2 linked regions of the Oryctolagus cuniculus genome follow. Each later gene encodes a partner of the first gene's protein in a complex. Links are inferred from orthologs where the notes say so. Each region holds a gene or a part of one and is shown on either strand. Other genes may lie near its edges.

Region 1 (3,804 bases):
ACTCCAAGGGCAGAGAGTTCATTTTTCCAAGTGGTAGTCCTGCTTCTACAGTGAAATTTATTTAAATTCTTTAGATTATTTGGCAAATTAAGACCTTTAGTAACTGGTTTTCTGGCACTGCTCTCCTTGTTTCTGGTCTGTAGTTCTAGCAGAAGTGTCTGCTTTTCATGCTGCCCTCTGCTGGTGCGCACGCGCGTGTGTGCGTGTGTGCGTGTGTTCTGTGAAAGGACATTTTCCCTGCTTCTCAGCACATTGAATCTTACAAATGATAAACCTACAGCGTGCGTTTTTAAAATTGAACACCAGTGTTAACCTTAAGATTTTCACTGTTGGGATCAGTTTTTGAAGGAGTTTGATCTTAAAGTAGGTGCCATCGATCTGTATGCTGGTATTGTTTTCTCACATTGCAGTATGTCATTTAGGTCAGCCGTGTACTTGGCATATTTCAAATAGGAATGTGCTTTGAGTACTGCTGGTCTGTTTCTGCATACATGTTGACTAGCTTCTTGGTTCATAAGAAGGTGTGTTTTTCCAGATGACCATCAATGACGATGACTTCTGATAGGTGACGTTTTTGCTTAAAATGTTTTTTGTTCTCTTCTGTATTCCTCTGCCGTTTCAGCTTATAAACAAAACAGCCATAACAAATGCAGAGAAGCATCCACTCTCCCCCAGGGTCACCCCTCATTTGCGGCAGCAGGAGTGTGTCTAATGATTGGGTAGCAGGAAATGGGACAGACATGAAAGGGCCCTCTTCCCTCAAAGGAAGTGTGGTCCACTCTGCTTTTTTTTTCTAGCCAATATCTGCCTCACTGTTTTTGCGGCAAGATTTCCACATAAAGGAGTAGTGATAAATTGGTCACACGTCATTGGGACTGCCCTTGAGTGGGTGAAGAATGCTGACCACCTTCCTGAGTGGGAATGAGGAAGTGTGTGTGTGCCCATGCAAATGAAGAATACGGTGCTGTTCTCTAGTATTATTGTTGTTAGATTTATTTACTTACTTTGAAAGCCAGAGTTAGAGGAAGAGACAGAGATCTTCCATCCACTGATTCTCTCCCCAGGTGACTGTAACAGGCCAGGAGCTTTATCTAGGTCTCCCATAGGTGGCAGGGGCCTAAACACTTGGGCCATCTTCTGCTGCTTATCCCAGGCCATCAGCAGGGATCTGGATTGGAAGTGGAGCAGCTGGCTTTGTCCTCTGTGCCACAGTGCTGGCTCCAGTGCTGTACTTTAGCTATAAGTTGATTTACTCTAAACACTACAAGAGTTGGGGCTGGCATTGTGGCGTGGTGGGTTAAGCCACTGCCTGTGATGCCAATGTCTCATGGTCACCAGTTTGAGTCCCAGCTGCTCCACTTCTGCTGCCATGCCTGTGGGAGAACTGGATGCAACTCCTGGCTTGTGGCCAGTTAGGGAGTAAACCAGTGGGTGGAAATTGTCTCTCTGTGTCTTTTCCTGTCTCTCCGAGCTTCTGACTCTCAAACAAATCTGAGAATCTGAGTTAAGGTCTAGTGATGAAAGTGACGTCTGCTGACTAAAACTGGAGTGTGTCCAAAAGCAACAGCTTGCATTCCTTTACTTTAAGTGACTCTTCTAAAGTTGTATGTTCCTAATCTCTACAGGTAATACGCTCTTACTTCAAGCGTGCTGATCCATTCTATGATGAGCAGGAAAATCACAGCCTCATCGGGGTGGCCAATGTTTTCCTAGAGTCCCTTTTTTATGATGTGAAGTTACAATATGCTGTGCCAATTGTCAACCAGAAAGGAGAGGTGGGTTTTCTCTTCAGACCTTGTTTTCTGCAGGGAACAGTTCAAGAAACAATAGGGTGCTTATGGTATGTTGTTACATTGTTTCAGTAATGGCAAATGATATGCGAAGTGTATTATTCGTACCTTGTATTTCCATAGGGCTTTGAGGAGAGAGTAACCATTAGGTTTCTAAATTCTTTCAGTTGTCCCTCTTTATCCTTGGGAAGCAGGTTCCATGACCCATAATGGATGCCTGAAATTGCAGTTGGCACTCACTGAACCCTACATAAATATGCATACCTTACGATTCAGTTTAATATGTAAATTTGGCATTGTAAGAGATTAACAATGAGAACTAATAAAATAGTGTAACAATATATTAAAAGTTAAGTGAATGTGGTCTCTCTCAAAACATGTTGTTTGCTTTCACCTTTTGAAGCACTTTGTGGCTTCTCTTTAGCATATCTGAATTGCCAGCCTCAGTACTCTGGTGCTTTGGAGCCATTGTTAAATAAAAGAAGGGCTCCTTGAACACAAGCACTGTGATACTACAGCAGTGGAATTGGTAACTAGATATGTACTGAGTGACTAGTGGATGGGTAGCACATGTGGTGTGGTTACGTAGGACAAAAGGGGGATTTGCATCCTGGGTAGGATGGAGCAGGATGGTGCAAGATGTCATCACACAACTTAAAACGATATGCAGTTTGAAACTTAGAAGTTGTTTCTTGAATTTTCCATCTAGTATTTTTGAACCTCAGTTGATTGGATAACTGGAACCACTGGGTTCTAGTTCAGTTGATTGGAAACTAGAGGACCACTGTACTGTTAACATAATGACTTTAAAGCAGAAATCATCTTAAGGAAAGAACCAGATCTGGAAGAGCTGTGTTTTCCTATTGCTCTAGGTGGCAGGTCGGCTGCACGTAGAGGTGATGCGAATCAGTGGTGAAATTGGGGAAAGAATTGCAGGTGGTGATGAGGCCACAGATGTATCCTTTGAGAAGGAGGCCCAGGAGAACAAGCTGGTGTGCATGGTGAGTCACAGTCGTATTTTGGAATAGTTGAAATATATATATTTCAATATATATATATATTCAATGTATATATAAATATAAATATTTATTGAGTTCTTACCTGGAGTTTGAAAGTATTTGTAAACACATCTTTAATTTTCTAGAAACCATGTTTTGTCCATGGATCCTGAAACAGTGGTGTGGTGGCTTCAAGTCCATGACTCAGACGCTGTGGACAAGTCACCCCTTCTGTAATGTGGGTCTGTTGATTCACATTTCTCTGTAGAGAAACCCAGATTCTCACACCACTTTCCTCTTCATCTTGGGCGCTCTTAGTTCCTCCTGAAGCTGGTGGTTTATCCCAGCACTCACCCTGTTCCTAAGCCACTCCCATTCGTCACTCCTCATGGCTTCACCACACAAATACCTTTTCTTACGGTGTTCCCTGTGTTGTTCCCACATGGCCCGATGCCAGACCCTTTAGTTCTGCTGTTGCCATGCATTCCAGTTGTGAAATGTGTGTTTCCCGTGAGCTCTCAGATACCAGAGGCAAACAGATGTACCCGAGATCCTAGCACTGTGTGTAGAGCTGGGGACCAGATGTCGTGACTTCAGATAGCAGGCTTTGAGGAAGATTTCGGGAAGAACTCTGTAGCTGCTGTAGGTTTTCATGGGTGATTGCTAGGGAGGCCATGGCATTTCTGGCACTCCCCACTAATTGTGGCAGTGCAAAAATCTACATTTCCAAATATCCCCTGTGGACAGCACTGCCACTAGTTGAGAATTCCTGTGGAAACCATTAAAAAGGGTTTTGAGGGTAAGAAGTCAACCAGGGACACGGGGAAAAATTGCGGAAGTTAGAAGGAGGCCATTAAAGGGCCAAGGAAAGAAAGCCTAAACTCAGCTCCCTCTCTTGTAAAAAAAAGACTTAGTTGTTTGAGAGGGAGAGAGACAGAGAGACAGAGACAGAGGATGTTATCTTCCATCTGCTGGTTTACTCCCCAAATGTCTGCAACAGGCAGGTCTGGGCCAGA
Region 2 (3,804 bases), on another chromosome or scaffold:
GACACGCGGCGGCCGCGTGCGCCGTGCGGGGCGTCGGGGAGCTCTGTCAGCACGCGTGTAAATAAATCCTTTCTACCGGCTCGCAGCGTGGTCCTCTGAGCGCGCGCGCCCGGCCCCGGCGGCCAGGGTCCTCTGAGCGCGCGCGCCCGCCCTGGCGGCCAGGGTCCTCTGAGCGCGTGCGCCCGGCCCCGGCGGCCAGGGTCCTGGGGTGGGGGAGCGAGGGCCCGGGGCCACCCATGGCTGCGGCCGCACAGAGCCGGCCCTTCCTGCCCCCACACCTCGGGACGCCGCGAGACCTCCGACACGCGTGATGTCCTGGGTCCAGACCGGGGTTCCCCACCAGCACAGCCACATCCTGGGCTTCGTATCACGCTTGTCCACGTCCTCCCACGCACTGCCCCCACGCGGGGCTGCCCGTGTGTGCACTCGACACACCTGGGGCCCAGTCTGGCCTGGGCGGTAGTGGACGTGGCACGAGGGGCGGGGCGGGGGCGCAGCTCCCCCCCAGTCGTGCCAGGCAGGGCTGAGAGGGGTCCACCCCGGTCACCTGCAGGGGTGCTCTGTGCAGCTGGGGCACAGGGCGCGCACACCGCGGCCCCCACCGTTGGCCCACCAGCAGCAAGCAGGGAGGGGTGAGCTGGGTGCGGGGCCAGCAGTGAGGGTGGGCGGGCGGGCGGGCACCGGCCATCATCAGCACCAAGTGTCTGGCACGCAGGCCACTGGGTCCCCACAGGCGAGGGCTGGGCAACCCGTCTGCCAAGCCAGGGGCCCGGGGGGTGGGGGCCTCCAGCCAGCAGAGGGTCCCCAGGACCGGGGCTGGGTCAGTGTGGGGACCAGGGCCAACGGCCCAGGCTCCAGGACCACAGCAGGTGCACAATAAATACTTGAGGGGGGGGCGGGGCAGGGGAGGGGCAGAGTCCCAGTGCCAGGCCCACGGGGCCCTGCTCCAAGCCAGGGGTCGCCTGGGCAGTCTGCTCGTGATGCGGCCCAGACCCTACCTGGCCGGGCTCCCTGCGTCCACAGCCCCTCCCTGGTCCAGCCTCCAGCTCCTCAGCCACGTCAGCCACGTGAGTCTGTGGTCCCCAGGTGGGCGGTGCTGCGCGCTAGGGCTTATGCTTGAAGTGGGCTTCCACTAGAAACAGAACGGGCATTGGCCTGGTCCCAGCCACACGGGCAGGGGTGCCCCGCGGGCCTGGCCACACCCCCACCCCACGGACCCCACAGGCCTGGCCACGCCCCCACCCCACGGACCCCACAGGCCTGGCCACGCCCCCACCCCACGGACCCCGCAGGCCTGGCCACGCCCCCGCCTCACCTGCATACTCCTGGGGCAGCATGGGCCTGTCCACCACCTTCTGGAAGGCCTGCACCCACTCCCGCTGGTCCGCCTCCGTCTCACAGGTGAACAGGAACTTGCGGTCGGGCGTGACGATGGTGATGCCATGCGGCCAGTGGTGGCCCTGGGTGGCCGGCGGGAGCCCCCCCAGCACCGTGTAGCCGCTCTCCTTGCTGCCGATGAAGACCTCCCCACGGGCGAAGGCGTCCTGTGGGCGGAGCCAGAGGACAGGGCTGGGCTCGAGCCTGCTTCCCGCCCCCACCCACCTGCCAGGCGCCCCCCCCCCCCGGCCCAGCCCCTCACCAGGGGGTCTTTGAAGTACATGAGCCGGCGGTCGTCCATGGTGAACCAGCGTTTCCGGAAGCCCTCGGTTTGCTGCGGGTCAGGGGCGGTCATGAGGGGGCGGCGCGGCCCAGCCCAGCCCTGCCCTACACACCCTCGGCCCTGCACACCCCCAGCTCGGCCCTGCCCTGCCCTGCCCTGCCCTGTGCACCCCCGGCACTGCATACCCCGGCCCGGCCCTGCCCTGTGCACCCCCAGCCTGGCCCTGCCCTAGCCCAGCCCTGCCCGGCCCTGCCCTGTGCACCCCCGGCAGGGGCTCCCGGGGCCGCCGGCCTGCACCCACCTTGGGCCCCGTCTTCTCCATGTAGCCTTCCTTCAGGTAGTTCCTGGAGAGCTTCGGCACCAGCTAGGACATGAGGGCGGTGAGGGCGGGGCCGGGCCACCCCCCCCCCCGCGCGCCCCCCCCGCCCCGGCCCGCCACACGCCCCCGCCCACTCACGTCTGCGTCGCTGGCCCCGGGGAAGGCCACCTGCAGGTAGTGGAAGCGGGCGGCCCGCAGCGCATTGAACCAGTCCACAATCTCCTAGGGGCCGAGAGCAGGCGCACGGTGGGCTCGGGCGAACGAGGGGGCCGCGGGTGGGGCCCGGGCAGGGGCGCACATGGCCAGGACGTGCCCACCGGGCTGAGGCCAGGAGGCCGCCTGGTTCTCGGGGGCCAGGCCACATGGAGCGAGGCTGTGGCCCAGGGCTGCCCGGGCCCCTCTGGACCCCACCTCTCATCTCCCAGGGCCACACCACGGACCATGACACCCAGCCAGCACTAGGTGGTCCCAACCTGAGGGCCCGGCCAGCCCACCTCTCCTCATCGGCCTCGGCCGCAGGCCCTAGGCGGCCGCCTGCCACACCACCCACCCAGGGGAGAGCAGGTGCCCACCGCCTCCTCCGGACCCTCCAGCCACAGGAAGTCCCCTCCCACCCCTGGCTGCAGGTTGGCTCGGCACTGGGCCACCCAGATGGAGGAGGGAGACCGCACGGCCCGGAGCACCAGGTCCTCCCGGAGTGGGCCTGGGACGGGTGACGGCAGCGTCGCACCGAGGCCGTCTCTGGGCCCTGGCCAGGCCCAGCTCCCCCACACCGGGAGCCAGCTGAGCAGAGACAAGGAAGCTTGGGGGACCCTGAGCCTCGAGAGCTCGCAGAAGCCACGCCGCCGACGGGCACGAGCCCGGGGGACGTCCCCGAGAGCAGAGCGGGAGAGAGGGGAGCCACGGGCCGTGGCCTCTGCCCGAGGAGGGGCTCCCAGGAAGGCCAGGGCGGCGAGGGGCAGGGCTGGGTGCCGCTGTCCAGGGACAGCCTCGGCCGCTCCCGGCGCCCACCCTCCCGCCCGCGGCCTCGGCCCCTCCCGGTGCCCGCCCTCCCGCCCGCGGCCTCGGCTGCTCCCGCCCGGGGCCTCGGCCCCTCCCGGTGCCCGCCCTCCCGCCCGCGGCCTCGGCTGCTCCCGCCCAGGGCCTCGGCCGCTCCCGGCGCCCACCCTCCCGCCCGCGGCCTCGGCCCCTCCCGGTGTCCGCCCTCCCGCCCGCGGCCTCGGCTGCTCCCGCCCAGGGCCTCGGCCGCTCCCGGCGCCCACCCTCCCGCCCGCGGCCTCGGCCCCTCCCGGTGTCCGCCCTCCCGCCCGCGGCCTCGGCTGCTCCCGCCCGGGGCCTCGGCCCCTCCCGGCGCCCACCTTGCCGTCGTCGTGGTACAGGAAGATGTTGCGGGTGCTGTTGTCCTTCAGGTAGGTGAGCTGCAGGCCGTGCGGGTGGCCGATCTTGGCCGGTTGGAAGGTGGCGTTCAGGTGCTCGATCTTCATGACGGCCTTGGGCTCCTTGGCCTGGGGGGGAGGGCAAGGCTGAGGCCGGCGGGGTGGGCACAAGGGGCTGGCGCTCCTCACCGACACCCCCCGGGGTCCCCAGGGCCCCCGATGCGCACTGGCTCGGGGGTCCTGGCTGGCTCTGCTGAGGGGGTGTGGCCACGAGGCCCCCGTGGGCTCTGCACGGCCATAAGGCCGAGGGCAGGCACCCAGGCCGCCACTGCCCGCCCACGATCCGTGGCCCCCAACCCCGTGGGGCGGCCCGACCTTCACACAAGACCCATGCGTGTGTCCCCTGCTCACGTCATTCTTGTTGAAGTACTTCAGGGCCCCCTCCCGCT

The links.
Region 2: the proteins of KIF13B (region 1) and ADAP1 are in contact, whole or in part, in a crystal structure (PDB 3MDB), measured with the Homo sapiens proteins. The link is inferred for Oryctolagus cuniculus from reciprocal best matches to the Homo sapiens genes KIF13B and ADAP1. Residues at the interface, in NP_056069.2 of Homo sapiens: Val451, Asn452, Leu453, Asn454, Ala455, Asp456, Pro457, Leu463, Arg512, Phe514, Asn516, Gly517, Arg531, Leu533, Asn536, Asn537, Phe539; in NP_006860.2 of Homo sapiens: Trp137, Asn143, Gly144, Gln145, Phe146, Leu147, Pro186, Ala187, Lys188, Ile189, Gly190, His191, Pro192, His193, Tyr211, Glu213.

What each region holds. Positions count from the first base shown.
Region 1 is NC_091433.1:44,892,537-44,896,340, forward strand, and holds part of KIF13B (kinesin-like protein KIF13B), read left to right. Parts: intron 1-1,625; coding exon 1,626-1,775; intron 1,776-2,662; coding exon 2,663-2,791; intron 2,792-3,804. UniProt on the Homo sapiens protein: Involved in reorganization of the cortical cytoskeleton. Regulates axon formation by promoting the formation of extra axons. May be functionally important for the intracellular trafficking of MAGUKs and associated protein complexes.
Region 2 is NC_091450.1:36,357,097-36,360,900, forward strand, and holds part of ADAP1 (arf-GAP with dual PH domain-containing protein 1), read right to left. Parts: coding exon 3,767-3,804; intron 3,485-3,766; coding exon 3,338-3,484; intron 2,202-3,337; coding exon 2,118-2,201; intron 2,025-2,117; coding exon 1,962-2,024; intron 1,712-1,961; coding exon 1,640-1,711; intron 1,545-1,639; coding exon 1,316-1,544; intron 1,133-1,315; coding exon 1,104-1,132; 3' UTR 1-1,103. UniProt on the Homo sapiens protein: GTPase-activating protein for the ADP ribosylation factor family. Binds phosphatidylinositol 3,4,5-trisphosphate (PtdInsP3) and inositol 1,3,4,5-tetrakisphosphate (InsP4). Regulates the incorporation of CD63 and CD9 into multivesicular bodies.